Linked DNA regions of Drosophila melanogaster. The protein of the gene in region 3 interacts with the protein of the main gene of each other region in a pairwise test. Each region holds a gene or a part of one and is shown on either strand. Other genes may lie near its edges.

Region 1 (3,741 bases), on a different chromosome or scaffold from region 3:
TGGCATTCAATTTTTATTAAATCTCTTAATTCGAAGTCATCTCGTTGCGTTGGCTTTTGTTTTTTTTTGGCCCGACCAGGGAGCTCTTTATGGCTGGGAGCCATAAACGTGTTGGGTTTTACGATCACCGCTGCGTTTGCCAAGTACTTAAAATAGTTTTTGGTTAGGCAATTATTGGGATAAATAGTTTATCGTACTTTTGGAGTTGTTAGACTATTTATTTCGTATGCATTAGTCATCATGTACCTAAGAAATGTATAACATTATTGATACATCACTATCAGGTTTTAATTAAAATGCTTAAAGACAAAATGAAAGACAAATCAAGTGTGCTATTAAAGTAACCTAATGTTTAAACATTTAAACTTTAACCCTTTTCAAAAGAGCATACTCAATTCGTTAGGGGCTTAATTATTTATTTCTGTCTAATCTTTTCATGGCACCTTTAAAAGACTTGCCCCATCTCTGGGCAACATTGAAAGAGGTCAACTGTCGTCCCATTGCCGATGGCTGCAATTGGCGATTAGCGATTTTGGTTCGGTTTGAACCTTTCTGTAACCGACACCGATCAATCCCTATAAATATATTCAAACCAAAACTCACATCATTTTTCATCCAAAAAGACAGTAATTATCGACACTGCAGGTGATGATCGAGCTGAACTAAAGCTAAAACCGAAGCCGTTTGGCTATTTCGGTTGATTGGCCGCAATTAGATTTGGAGGTCAGATTGAAATCCACATGGATCCCTTGGGGGCTGGGTGACAGCAATTTGGGTTTGATATCTTTGACCTTGAGGATGGGGAAAGAGTGCGAGTGGTGTAATACTCCATTTTATTTTTTGTTAAAAATGCTTTTAATGTGTACAGCTTAAAACTAGATGCAGTGCTTGTGGTTTGGTTTTTTTTCGGTGGTTGATTATCCTAATGCCTGAAACGGCGAAGTGGAGGCTTGTAGTGGTAACCAGGCTCGGCGTCGTGGATTGGACTTGGTGCAGGGCCCAAGGGCAGTGCATAGGATGGAATCGGTATGTGGAAATCTACCTCAGGCTGGGGTGGCAGATATTTTTGTTCGGGCTTAGGAGGCAGATACTTCTCGACGGGCTCGGAAGGTGGCAGGTACTTAGTCTCCGGCTCGGCAGGAGGAAGATACAGCTTCTTGGGAGCCACTGGTGGGGGTGGAGGTGGTGGTGGCAGACTGGGTGCAACCTTGGGTGGCAGATACCTTGCCACTGGAGCAGGTGGCAGATACTTCACCTCGGGCGTCGGAGGAGGAAGGTACTTGGACTCTGGCGGACTGGGAGGCAGATATGTGGGCTTGGGCGCCACAACTGGAGGTGGTGGTGGAGGAGGCAGGCTGGGAGCGACCTTGGGTGGCAGATACTTGGCCACCGGTTCGGGGGGCAGGTACTTCACTTCAGGCTTTGAGGGAGGCAGATAAGTTGCCTTGGGCGGTGGAGGTGGTGGCGGTGGCAGGGAAACCTTGGGCGGCAGGTACTTCTGGCGAGGTTTCTCTGGAGGTCCATAGCTATATCCGCTAGGGATATCGAACTTGGCCTCTTGATGATGATGATGGTGGTGATCCGGCTGATAGTGCAGATCAATGTGCAGATCATGATGATCGTGTGACGAGGGAGAATGGTGGTGGGAATGGACATCATAGTGGTGGTGATCATGATCGTGATCGTGATCATGGTGGTGATGGTGATCATGGCCGTGATCGTGGTAACCTCCTCCGTACAGGTGGGACACGTCTGCCCGAATACAGATGGCAAAGCCTGCCAGAGCCAAAAGGATCAGCATGGGTTTCTGTAAAATAACCAACCTCCTGTTAGGTCATCTTTATTAGAGAATATGCCGCTACTGTTTACCATTTCCTTTAAGAGATAATCCACCGATCGAGATGATGTTGCTGCCGTTTGATGACAGCAGGTAGTAATGTCAATAACGTCGATGGTCACCGCTTTTATACAAAGATCGCGCCTTCCTCGACCGGCTGGCTATTTGGTTTTCTTCACACTTTTCTTGGTTTTCATGAACTTGAGGTCGGCCAATTATCGGCGTGTGTTATCTCCCTCTACCCCAAAACAATTAATGCGATTTCGACCAAATTAGCTCTGCACAACAAAGCAGCTCATGAATATGCAGCGGATGCGACGAAATCCCAGACAATTGACGGTGATTGACTCGGCCATCTGTACCACTTTTGTCCCATCCCAATAAATATTTGGGAGATACCGATGCTAATGGGGTTAACAAAACAGCGTTTATTGAGATGGCTTTAACCTTATATAAACCTAAGCCTAGTGGAACGATTTAAAACAAAACTAATCCGGGGAAATCTTCCATGTTCAGTTCGATCGCGATTTTGCTCAGAAGGTGAACTCTTGGGCGGGCACATCGTAGTGGTAACCCGGTTCCGGTTGTGGTGGTGGGGGTGGAAGGTACGTGGGCACTGGCGTGGGTGCAGGTGTCGTTGTGGTTGTAGTGGTGGTGGTGGTAGTGGTACGCGGTGGTGGAGGTGGGGGAGGAAGGTAAGTGGGAGCAGGAGTGGGAGCGGGAGTGGTTGTCGTGGTAGTGGTAGTAGGTGGAGGGGGAGGAAGGTAGGTAGGAGCGGGAGTAGGAGCCGGAGTGGTTGTGGTGGTAGTTGTGGTTGTGGGCGGAGGAGGAGGTAGGTAAGTGGGTACTGGTTTGGGTGGCAGATAAGTCGGTGGTGGCGGTGGTGGCTCCGTCGTCGAGGTAATCACAAATGGTATCTCCGGCTTGGGGTAGTCATAGCCATAGCCATGCTCATGATGCTCCTCCAGGAGTTCCAGCGGCAAATGCGAAACATCACCGGCTGCAAAAGCCAGCAGACAGGTAGCCAAAATGAATAGCTTCTGAAATAGGAAAGAAATCGTGAAGTTCAGATTGCTTCTCATATCTACAACTGACCACACTCACCATCTCCTTTATGATATGTCTAACACCTTGAGCTCTTAAACCACAAATGATTGAGCGTTTGCATCCACGTCGGTTTATTTATAGTCAAAATTCTAAAACAGATCGATACTGTCCATGGCGCTCTAGAGGCCAATTATTATCATTTAAATCGATATAACACCGCTAGCCCCACGGCATTCTTTGTATCGGTAAATGTATCTGTATCTGTAGCGCTCTCCGCAGCCATGTTTATATGAATGATTAGCGCCACAATAGTGCGCCGAAGTTGACAGAGGAGCAGCGTCAACATCGCCAACTTTGTTTCGGAACTATTATGCCTATATGGGGCCCTACTGAGCCGTTTTTCATCAACGTCGTCACTTGGGTTTTCATTGTTACGGTGTTAAAGGTATGACCAAACTTCCGACGGAACCTGGGGCACAAAAGCTTAGCACACAGAAAAACAGTCATAAATTCATAAAAATTCTGAGCAGATTTTGAATCAATTTGAAATAAGTAATCAGCGAGTACTTGCATTCTGATATGGGTTGCTACATATTTTAAATGTTAATTAATGAAATTCATTCATACATGAAAGGTACATGCACTTAATGTTATTTATTTTAAGCTAGTCAAGCTAAATTTTCTCTCAGTGCATCTGAAGAGGTAGTTCCGTCGCTGGAAGCGTTGTAAGCGTGCTCTGCTGGCTGTCATAAATCATTTAGACTTCATTTATAATAATTATGGCTCGCGCTGCCTTTTGCAACTCAAGAAGTTTGAGTGGTCAGAGTTTCATGGACAGATGGACAATGAAGCTGTCT
Region 2 (5,101 bases), on a different chromosome or scaffold from region 3:
CATATCAATTTGACCAACCTGAAATATCAGCCCACTCCGGCGAGGTGAAGCTGTACTTGCCCTCCATGATATTCCGCAGCATGACCATCTGCTTGCGGTGCCAGAAAGGTGGACAACCGACGAGCAGCGTAAACATAATCACGCCACAGGCCCATCTGCGAACAACAAAAAGAAATCGAAAAAGAAATGGGTAAAAGGTGTCAATTTTTCCTATTAAAAATTTCTGCTGAAACCAAGTAACGTAGATACCAGTGGGAAACGTTAAAGAACTCAAAAATACAAAAAGCCCTACGTTTTGCTGAACCGAAGAAATATAGACGTCGGTATCGGAACTACTCAGATTTCAGATTATTATGCCTTTCTGCTTCTGACTCATTCATTAAAATGCACACCTAAAGATCAAAACAAATCGCCTGACACGAGGAACACTAGTTAATGAAATGTATCAGCAAAATTTGCGTCTATAAAACAAAAAAAAAAGGAAAACGGGTCTAATATCGATACAAAAGTTTAGACCTTTCTTTTTTTATGTAAGCAAAAATTTTTAATAATAAAATTAGCTGTTAACATAAGCAATTTAGTAATTTGAGCAGACAATTCGTATTACAATAAATGTGATACTTTTTGTGCTTAAATTGCTTCTATAATTTAAGTGAGCCAAAAAAAGGTGTAATAATAAGTGGCTAGTTTATTCGCTCTTACATGTCGACTTCCTGCGAGTAGCCGGGGGATCCCTCGAACATGTTGCACTTGAGCGTTTCGGGAGCCAAATAACCCGGCGTTCCGCACAGATCTAATAGGGGGAAAGTACATATAGTTTAGCTTAGCGAATACAGAAGGATGCTGTGTTATAATTACTTGTAAGTTTCTCGCCCTCTTGCAACTGCTTGGCGAAGCCAAAATCCGTGATCTTAACGTTGTGGTTCTCGTCCAGCAAGATATTCTCGGGCTTAAGATCCCGATGGACAATGCTCTTCGCGTGTATGTACTCGACGCCCTCAAAGATTTGTCGCATAATGGTGCGCGTCTTCTTCTCGGATAGCGTCACCACAGAGGTCAGATAGTCGAAGAGTTCACCTTTGGGACACAGCTCGAAGACGAGGAAAACAAATGCATCTGACTCGAACACATCCTGCAGATCAACTGTGCACGATAATGTAGATGGTTAGTGGTGGAATTAAGTACATGTGGGTGCTATGTGAGACTAACTTATGTAGGGATGCCCCATGACCTGGCGCAGTATTGAGATTTCTTGTCTGGTTGCTTCCAGCATGTGATATGGATTCGTCTCGCCTGACTCTGTGGTGGCGCCCAAGTCGATGATCTTGGCGGCAAACTCCTTGCCCGTCTCCTTTTCGATACATCGCCTCACGGTCGAACTGATGCCCCTGTAAGACAAACATTGCATGTAGATAAAGAGCTCTGCTTCTGCTGCACTTGACATTGCCATGATCGGGTATTTATCTAATCTCTAATCCCTAGAATTGTAATATGTAATTAGCCCTTGTTTTCGCTTAGTCTCTGCTATTTGCTTGGCAAATTCTGATCTTCGTTGTGGCGTGAGTAGGCCGGCAGACAGGCGCCGCTTGAAAAGCAGCCCATGCCATTGCTCCATGCCATGGAAGCTTGATGAGGCTGACTCACTTGGCACCATTTAGCCCAAACTGCATTACTGCAGACTTGGCAGTAAGAGGTTGGGAAAGCAGAAACAATCAATATTTGGACGTTCTAGTGATTTCTGAGGATACAAGTATCAATGTTTCTATGATCTTAAATTTGCAAAATTAACTACGCAAAGTAAATAGAAAGAAACGTATTTGAATGGTTAAGTGCAGGATCAATAATACTTCAACTGAATTTAAAAGGATTTAATAAGAGGTTTGAGATCACGGCAAGTGTAGTTCGATTCTTACCTGCCCAGAATCTCCTTGGGCTCGTATTTGGCATAGAAGCCCTTGGCCGCATCCTTGTCGGGCAGCAGATCATCCTCCTCGTCCTTGGCCATTAGATTTCGTGAAATCTTGCCGGCTGCCGAAACGGCAGTTTGGAATCTATTTGGTGGACGAGCGGAAATCAATTGGTTAGTGAAGGATTACATGATGATGACGGTGATTATGGTCGCAATCAAGATCAGTTAGTTACTCTGTCAGGCTGCCTGCTAATGAAGATGATGGGGATGGGATGCGGTGGCGATGGCGATTGAGGCGTAGGAGGGGGCGGTGATTTCTGGTGGTGTTCTGTTGATGAGGTTGATGCGATCGTTTAAGGCGTTGCTATTTTTATAACGACAATGTGGAAACGAACGGACGTGCGACACGAGTGGAATCTCTCGCCGACTGCGATTGAGACTGTGACTCTCCGACTTTGCGACTTTGCCGACAATCAGACTTGCCGACTTTCCGACTCTGCCGACTTTCGTTCTTTTCTTTTCGTTTCTTGCCGCCTCGCCGCGCTTCGCTTCGCTTCGTTCCGTTTCAGTTTAGTTCAGTTCAGTTCGGTCTTCCTTTTAATTACCAAGCCCCTGCTATTCGATTCCACCCGATTCGATTGGAAGTGGATCCTCTCCTGTCGCTCTCGATTGCTCTCTCGCTCAGCTGTTGGCGGCTGATTTAATTAATAACGAATGCCAACTGCAAAAACACAGATCGATTTGAATAACAGGCAAAAATTAAATCAAAAATAATAGAATTAAAATGTATTATTAAACAAGTGTTGTGTGTGTGTGTGTGTGTGGTGTGTTCACAACGAATGATTACACAACTACAACGCTTTGTTTTGTTTGCATTTCGAAAGGGTGCACATTATCGTTGCTGTTTTTGTTGTTGTTTAGCCTCCTTATCAGTGATACAGCTTCTCTTCTTCTACTACTGTTGCTGATTTCTTGCAGTTGTTTTGCTAGCACGCACGCACACACACATAAGCACGCTCGCATGCACCGACTATGTGCAGCAGGTTCCTTTTGTTTTTGTTTTTGCTCTGCTCTCGTTTCTCCCATCCTCCTTTGCAATCCCACACACACACTCGCGCACACAGACGCCGCATAGCACACATATACGCACACACACGCACCATCGTGGACATCCAACTAAGCGGGTACATTTCAATGTCAACTAAGGTTAAAAGTAGTACGCTTTTTGGCGGAGTTGGCGCCCGCACCGCCAGTGAAACACATACACGTGTGACCGCTCGCCTCTTGAATCGCTGGCAACGACGTCTCGAACATAACTCCACACAAAATTTATATTCCTCGGATTAAATTGCTAGTGCAACAATAAAACCCTGTATTTTTGACACAATCACAAAACTGGAGGTGGCACTAGTACCGATATCGAAGTAATGCTATCGATTGTTCCCGACACTCTGTCATATCGATAGCATTATATCTATCGACACGTAATTGTTAGCTAAGACACACCCCGACCAGGGATGGCACAGTTAGCTAAGACAACATCCTAACTTAGCAAGGACTTGATCCCACTCGGCATGGTTAGCAAAGACGCACTACCAAAATTGAACCCTCAACGGTGTTAATTTAAAATGAATCCTTTTCTAAATACCAATTAAATATAACAAACATAAGTGGACTTATAAAATAAGTCACTTCATAGATTTGAATATTTAAATTACCATTATTATATATGTTAACTTTTAACAAAAACTGTTGCTAACATTTTGCTTTGGCCTTAACTTCCTTTAACTTAAAACACGCGACTAGATGTTGATGTATTTTATATTTATTTACGGAATACAATTGTAAAAAATATTCAATAAGCGCTAAATGTATATAATAATTATGAGGCAAATGTTACATTTTCCTTTGCTTTCTTCCGCTGAATGGGCAAGCGGAGCTTAGAATGTTCTTCATTTTCGTTTTGGAAGGGTCGCGAAAAGGGATGATGATGGGTCACAAGATCGGATCGTTAGAATCCATTAAGTTAATACTCGGGCGGGACTAACCGCTCGTCGCGTACTTCGTGGATTAAGGTTTCAGTAACCTTCGGGATGCAGTCGGAAATACGTTGATTTGTTGTTGTTGTATATTTACTATCAAAATGCCGTAAATGGAATACACAATACAAATACAAATACAATTGCAGCAGCAAAGTTGTTCATTCAGTGCCGTATGTAGATACATTACAATAATATAATTATTAATTTATCAAAAAAAAAAAACCATATATATATATTTATAAAGAAGACAGACACACACGCTTGCTGTTGTACACATACACATCGGATCTCTAGGCTTACAAACTTACAAATAATATCTATTTATATACGTATCTTTATGGATTTCTTGCCATACTTGGTTTACGTTGCCTTGTTGTTTTTATTTTTCTTTCCTTCGTTACTGTTTTCGCGTCTAACCGAAGTTGATATTTCACCTAAGTGCACGCTTTTCAATTAGGGGAACGATCAGGATGTGGTAGGTTGTTATGCTCGGAAGGTTTGGAGTTTGGTGGAAACCGGTAGAAAAAGAGCTAGACGCTCCGGTTTTTTGGCTGGCAGGACGACCTAATATAGCAAATCCGTTTTCTGTGTACCCTCGCTGTACACAACTTCGGCGCCCGGCGTCGCCGTCAGATGGTAATCATCCTCGTCCACAGCTGAACCCTTCTTGGAGGCACCTGCTCCATCTGCAGTTCCAGGTCCTGCTTCCGTTGCCGCCAAGTCGCCCTCCTTGATCAGTCCCTCGCCGATGCCCATAATGCTGCCATTCCCGTTGAACATCAACCGGCTGCCCGCAGCTCCGGCTGGACTGCTCCCGTTGCTGCCTGGACTGTGGCTGCCATTGCTGCTCCCACTGCTGCTGCTCTCGGGCAGGGCGTATCGGGTGACACCCAGCTGGAATAGGTTGTCCATCGCCGTGCCCTTCATGGGCGTGTAGAAGCCCAGAGCCGTGGAGCCTGCAATTATGTGTAGAACGAGATTAATCGACTGTATATCTTTATTTCAAGTGGGTTTAAATCCTTCCAAGGATTTGGGGTTAGTACAATGATAAATAAGGTGGCTCCGAGTTGGGAAATATATATTTCAGAACATATATATATATATTTATATGTATATATAATCGAGATGAGGTGACGGTGTTGTGGATAAA
Region 3 (5,330 bases):
TCAAAATATTGAAAGGTCTGTCAATTATAAGTCGGGTGATTGAGATTTCTGGTATGGTAATTGCCACCTGCCAAGTTGCTCAATCGCAACAGCAGAGTACATAAAAATGATTGAAATTGTAGGTGTAAAAACGCATAAATCACAATTTAAAGACCCGTAAGAATGGTATTATTATAATCTCTGTAATCTTGAATCTTTAATCTTGCGTTGAGCTAAACATGCATGATGACTACTTTTTGATGTAAGCATAGCCAGCAGCTAGAAACTGTCTCAAATCGTATTATATTGCCATCAATTAAATTTATACAGCGGCTATATAATTAAATGTTTATTTTTACCAGGTGTTTGTTGGACCGCACCTTGCTATCAGTGGTCGTCTTTAAATAATTTGCATATCTTCGCAAAATATCTAAGGAAAATAATATGCGTGATAGATGCTACTATTCTTGCCCGGATAAAAGTATACATTTCGGCGCAATTTTCGTTGGCAATCTTGTCAAATCGCTTGAGAATGTGTTTAATCTGTCATTAGGCCAAAACCGAAAACCCATTAACTTATGTTGATGAACCATTAAGGCAAAGTCGCGTCTCCATTCGACTTGAATTGGTTTTGAAGCCCGCAGTCCAAACGGCCAACACAAATAGCCTTAGCTGCTATTGTGACTTTGCTCCATTTGAATTGCAAATTCCGACTGAAGTCAATACAAAGCATTAAAATTTGTTAGCCTGATTTGCCGCAGAAGGTTCGGATATTGGTGTCCAAATGACTTTCCACTGACGATGCGCTAATTTGCTGGTGCAACAATTTTCCACTTAATTTGCATTTGTTTATGAACTCATAACTCGCTGCCAAGCGGAAATTCCATAACTAACAATGGCAATATTATTTATGTTTTAATAATGTCAAACTCGAGCTCCAAATATGGCCAGCAAGATATTACCATGTCTGAAGAGTCATCTCTGTGTGGAGCGCCAAGGGGTGTCAATGTTTGGACAGAGAATAAGAAAACACCAAGCTCCATATTTGAATAATTATTCAGTGAATTTCTGTCACATCTCATTGCAAAACTGAACAGATCGATCTTATTTGTCCGCTCTATTGAAGGGAAAGTATCTATCTATTGTATAGATACATCGATACAACGAAGTCATAGGCCTAGCTAAAAGTATCTCCCAACTATTGGTTACTACATCTTCAAGATTAATACCCCTTCGGGTCACAACGCCACTGCCGCTAAATAATATATTCAAATAATAAAATAACCGCAAGTCTGAAATGTCTCTCGAACAGGCAGTTATAAATTGTTATGGGGATCTTTGCAGTGGGCGTCTTTTAATTGAATCGCTTGGAATTGAGTAGCAGAGCCCAGTAGAAGCTGCAAAGTGATTGGGAAATCGAGCCAAATAAAATTAAGTATTTTAACCGTTGTTGGGGAATGTGACCAGCTTCATTTGGTCAACATCATTAGCAATCTGTGGCTGCCGTTTCGAATCACAATTCATATTTGTTGGAGGGGAAAATATTCTGTGCTCTGACCTTATATGATCCACATAATTATAGTTCTCGCAAAGGCATAAACCTCAATCTGATCTGCTTTAAATACGTGTGGAAAGTCCGGTAATTAATAAATTATGACTCGACTGCGGTATTTATGGCGCCAATGCAGATAAGATCTCCCCAGATCCCCCATAGATTAATGTCGCTCGAATGGTGAGGATGCCACAGGCCGATTTTGCCGCCAGATTGCGGTTGACTTGGGTGTGGCTAATTAATATGTATCGATAGTATTTGAATTACAACAACAATTAGCTTGATTTATCATCAGATATAAAATGGCGGTGAAATGAATAGAAATCTTGTGAGGCGCTCATAAAAAATATTCATAGATTGGCCTATCAACAACTTGGTGATTATCATGCAATAAAGTCGAATGAAAAGGAGTTAAACTGCTGTGGGTGTGCAGCTAGAAGATGCGATTCTTTAGTCTACAGTCTGTTAAGATTGAAAACAAGAAATTAGCATTTAGCTATTAATAACTTTCTAAATGAATGATATTAATAAACATAGACCCAAGTCGTGATTACTTCCGTATATCTTTCGTTTATCTTTACGATCCTGAGAATATGTTAAAAATGAGATGATGCATCATTATTAACGCAACTTCTTTAAGAACAACTTAATATGCTCTAGTACCTTCCAGGCACTTGAATATGGAATGCACTTCGCACCTGGCCACTTGGCGCACTCATTTTCCGAGTGAGCGGAGTGTAGCCCAGATTTTGGCCACACGAATAAGCAGCATATGTAGAAGCCCGGAGGTCTGGCCCACCTTCACACTCACCTCGTGGTCAAGGACGCTGCTCTTGCTCTAGAGGTGCCCCCACTGCGGATGTGGATGTGATCCAAGTGATCCACTTGGCGGGACGGAACTGACAGCTCCTTGTTGTTTGTGCGGCTCGTTTGCGCCACTTGCGGCTGTCAACGCGCAATTTAGAATGGAAACGACCTGAGTTATTTTTACGAGTATTGCCACACTTTTCCGCCGCTTTTTCCTGGACGCCCGCACAGACACTTTTATTATGTTGTACTTTTGCAGAGCGAAAGATCAAACACGTCGCAAGGGTATCTTCACACTAAAAGAATCGATAACGAAACGGATGCATTAGACCATTTAAACCCTTTTCGAAATACGCGCCAGGTAGAAAAGCTGGATTTTGGAATGGGGACACACGCGAAGATTTCGTGGAGTCGATTTTATGGAATCGCGGTGGAGAACACGCGACGCCAATGCCTACAATCCTCCAGCAACGACAACTGCTCCGCAACTGACTCGCCCGTTCGTGCCAATAAAAATTAAAACACTTTTATGCTATTAAGGCGAACGCGACGCGATCTTGGACACCTTGGATGCAGAGGATGCTGCTTGAGGATCGATCGGATTTAAAAATATGGGCAAAAAACTTTGTACAGCGCGGGCTGATTTCAAAAGCACACTTAGGAAGCGTTTGAAAACTGAAACATTCTCGCGATAGTTCGATCGATTGATGCTACTGATTTATCGCCAAAACTAATCACTGATCACTTATCGAAGCACCTAGGACACGCACCGTCTTGTTCAACGTTCCAACGCGAACTGAAACTGAAAATTTGAAAATGCAAAGGGAATGATCGACGCGCAGCGTCGACTGAGGCAGCGGCAGCGCTGTTGGCTGGAGCAACTTGGAGCAGCGACAACTTGTTGTTGCCTTTCTGCGTTTCTGTTTTGTTCTCAGCTGTTGTTGTTGCTCTTGGGAGAAACGCGGCATTTTGTCTTCGTTTGTGTTTCTTTTGATTTGACGCGTGAGTAAGCCGCGACGCCCACGTGCAAAATTTGCGTAAACATCGACAGTGTGGCCAGATCGCTGCTGAATAATTGAGGAAGTGAGTGGAAAAAGTGGTAGTCAACTTTCAGATCTCATATCTTCCGCTTCCTTAGTAAAAAATAAAATTTTATAATGGGTAATCTTCTTTAAAATATAGGAAATTTAAAATTTATTTTCTATATAGAAAATGTTATTTTAAATATTCTGTAACGATCAGCGCAGTTTTCGTTTGTGCGCTTTAAGTTGCAATTATGTAATATATTGTTTAAAACTGCTGTGTAATTTGTAAGAATAAATATTTTGGTTAAAAGTCGCTCTCTGTGATTATATTTATGGGTAATTACTTATTGTCTTCAGTTCATTAGTTTATCCACCAATTATTATGGTGGAGTCGCCCACTTGGGCTGCCCCAATTGTAGATCGTTTGGGCCATTAAACTGAAACTCAATCCCGAAACATGCTTACATTGTAGGCCCGTTTAAGGCCATTAAATCGGATTCGTGCGAACCCTTTTCCGATAATGCGTCCATCCTTGTTTTCGACCACCACCTCCAAATCCAAAGGAACTCGGTGGATGGGGCCAGACTTTTGCTCTTTTGAAATGGAGATCGTAAATAAACGGCACGCTCTGCAGGCATTCAAAACAGACGAACTACTCGTTAAAACCAGAGCCCAAAATGATATGCATATGGCACCTATTAATGGCTACTTATGCAGTACAAGTGTCCCCCATTTCGGAACTCCCTCCACTCCTATTTGCCGTTGACACGGGACTGATGCGTAACACGACAGTAGCATCGGGATCCAAGGGAAAGGGAAGTTGAATGAATGGCCCGACCTGTTCGTCATTATGTCGCCGGCATGTCAGCGGACAGTTGGAGGAGGGCATTATGCAGATGTGCATTTATCACGGAGTTGCGGTGCTGCGGACACACCCGAGATGCTATCCCACATCAACGCTGCATATTTTGCCGCTTTTCGGACAGCGGCGACCACTTGCTGAAATTTCATTATGTGCGTGATTTATAAATAAGCCTCGCTGGCCCCACGCCCCATTCCACACACTCCTCGTCCGAATCCTCCTCGAGTTGTTCCCAGCATCTTCAGTGGTTACGAGCTAAGACGTCCCACGCACTTTTCGACGCCGCAACAGCAACATCAAGTCTGATCTCCTCCGAAATGCCCCACCTTTACCCCACCACCTCGCACTGCAGTTCAGTGCGTATTAATCATAAAATTGTATTATTAACATGTTTATTTTTCGGTCTTCAAGATTCGATTACACGCATTCTTCCTGCTCTTCGTGTGCAGCGCTTTCTGGAGTGTTTTTTTTTCCTCAGCGAACGTGACTTTGTTGTGCAGTGTAACGAAAGTGAGCTACTTTCTAACACTCTTAGGGGGGTTTGGGATTATCATCAGCCTTCAATTGCTCTAGGAAATATTGTCATTTTACGACTTCGCCGGTTAATTGGGTTACGTGGCTTTGGCCACTGATGCCGACCAGGCCAGATGCCTTGCACCTGGAAATAGTGTGGGAGTTGGCAAGACATGGTTTGATTGGAGTGAAGTTGGTCAAGCTTCCGGCTTAATGATTCAAAGGAGAGTGTTTAATGGCAGTTGATAAATATGCATATCTAAGTGCAAATATTTACCTAAAGGTGTTACCATAGCTCTCCATTCACCCTACAAACTAAAAGCAAGTGCTTATCACTTAATTTCCAACTCAGCCCCTTTTTTTTTGGGCCAATACAATATAATTAAAAGTAGTTAAAGGTCAATTCACCAGCTTATCGGGGAAGTAAAACTGGTTTGCTCGCATATCAATTCAAAAATATTGAATAAATATTTAAGGGCCCGTCGGTGAGTGTATAATTAACGTGGAGGGCTTAAGCCATAAAACTAGTGATTAACGCCAAGTTAACAACAAAAAAATAAACCGGCATTGCGGGCTCTTCGCAAACAAAACT

The links.
Region 1: the proteins of Tsp (region 3) and CG15022 interact in a two-hybrid assay, tested with the Drosophila melanogaster proteins (one large-scale study listed by BioGRID).
Region 2: the proteins of Tsp (region 3) and PhKgamma interact in a two-hybrid assay, tested with the Drosophila melanogaster proteins (one large-scale study listed by BioGRID).

What each region holds. Positions count from the first base shown.
Region 1 is NT_037436.4:4,458,376-4,462,116, forward strand, and holds CG15022 (uncharacterized protein), read right to left. Parts: upstream 1,943-3,741; 5' UTR 1,873-1,942; coding exon 1,870-1,872; intron 1,808-1,869; coding exon 923-1,807; 3' UTR 818-922; downstream 1-817. Other genes in the region: CG15023 (uncharacterized protein), read right to left, coding at 2,371-2,877, 2,942-2,944.
Region 2 is NC_004354.4:11,693,353-11,698,453, reverse strand, and holds the start of PhKgamma (phosphorylase kinase gamma), read right to left. Parts: upstream 3,318-5,101; 5' UTR 3,175-3,317; exon of another isoform or gene 3,070-3,174; intron 2,631-3,069; 5' UTR 2,143-2,630; intron 2,052-2,142; 5' UTR 2,006-2,051; coding exon 1,914-2,005; intron 1,389-1,913; coding exon 1,210-1,388; intron 1,144-1,209; coding exon 859-1,143; intron 794-858; coding exon 703-793; intron 156-702; coding exon 19-155; intron 1-18.
Region 3 is NT_033779.5:6,705,945-6,711,274, forward strand, and holds the start of Tsp (thrombospondin), read right to left. Parts: upstream 3,143-5,330; 5' UTR 2,343-3,142; intron 1-2,342.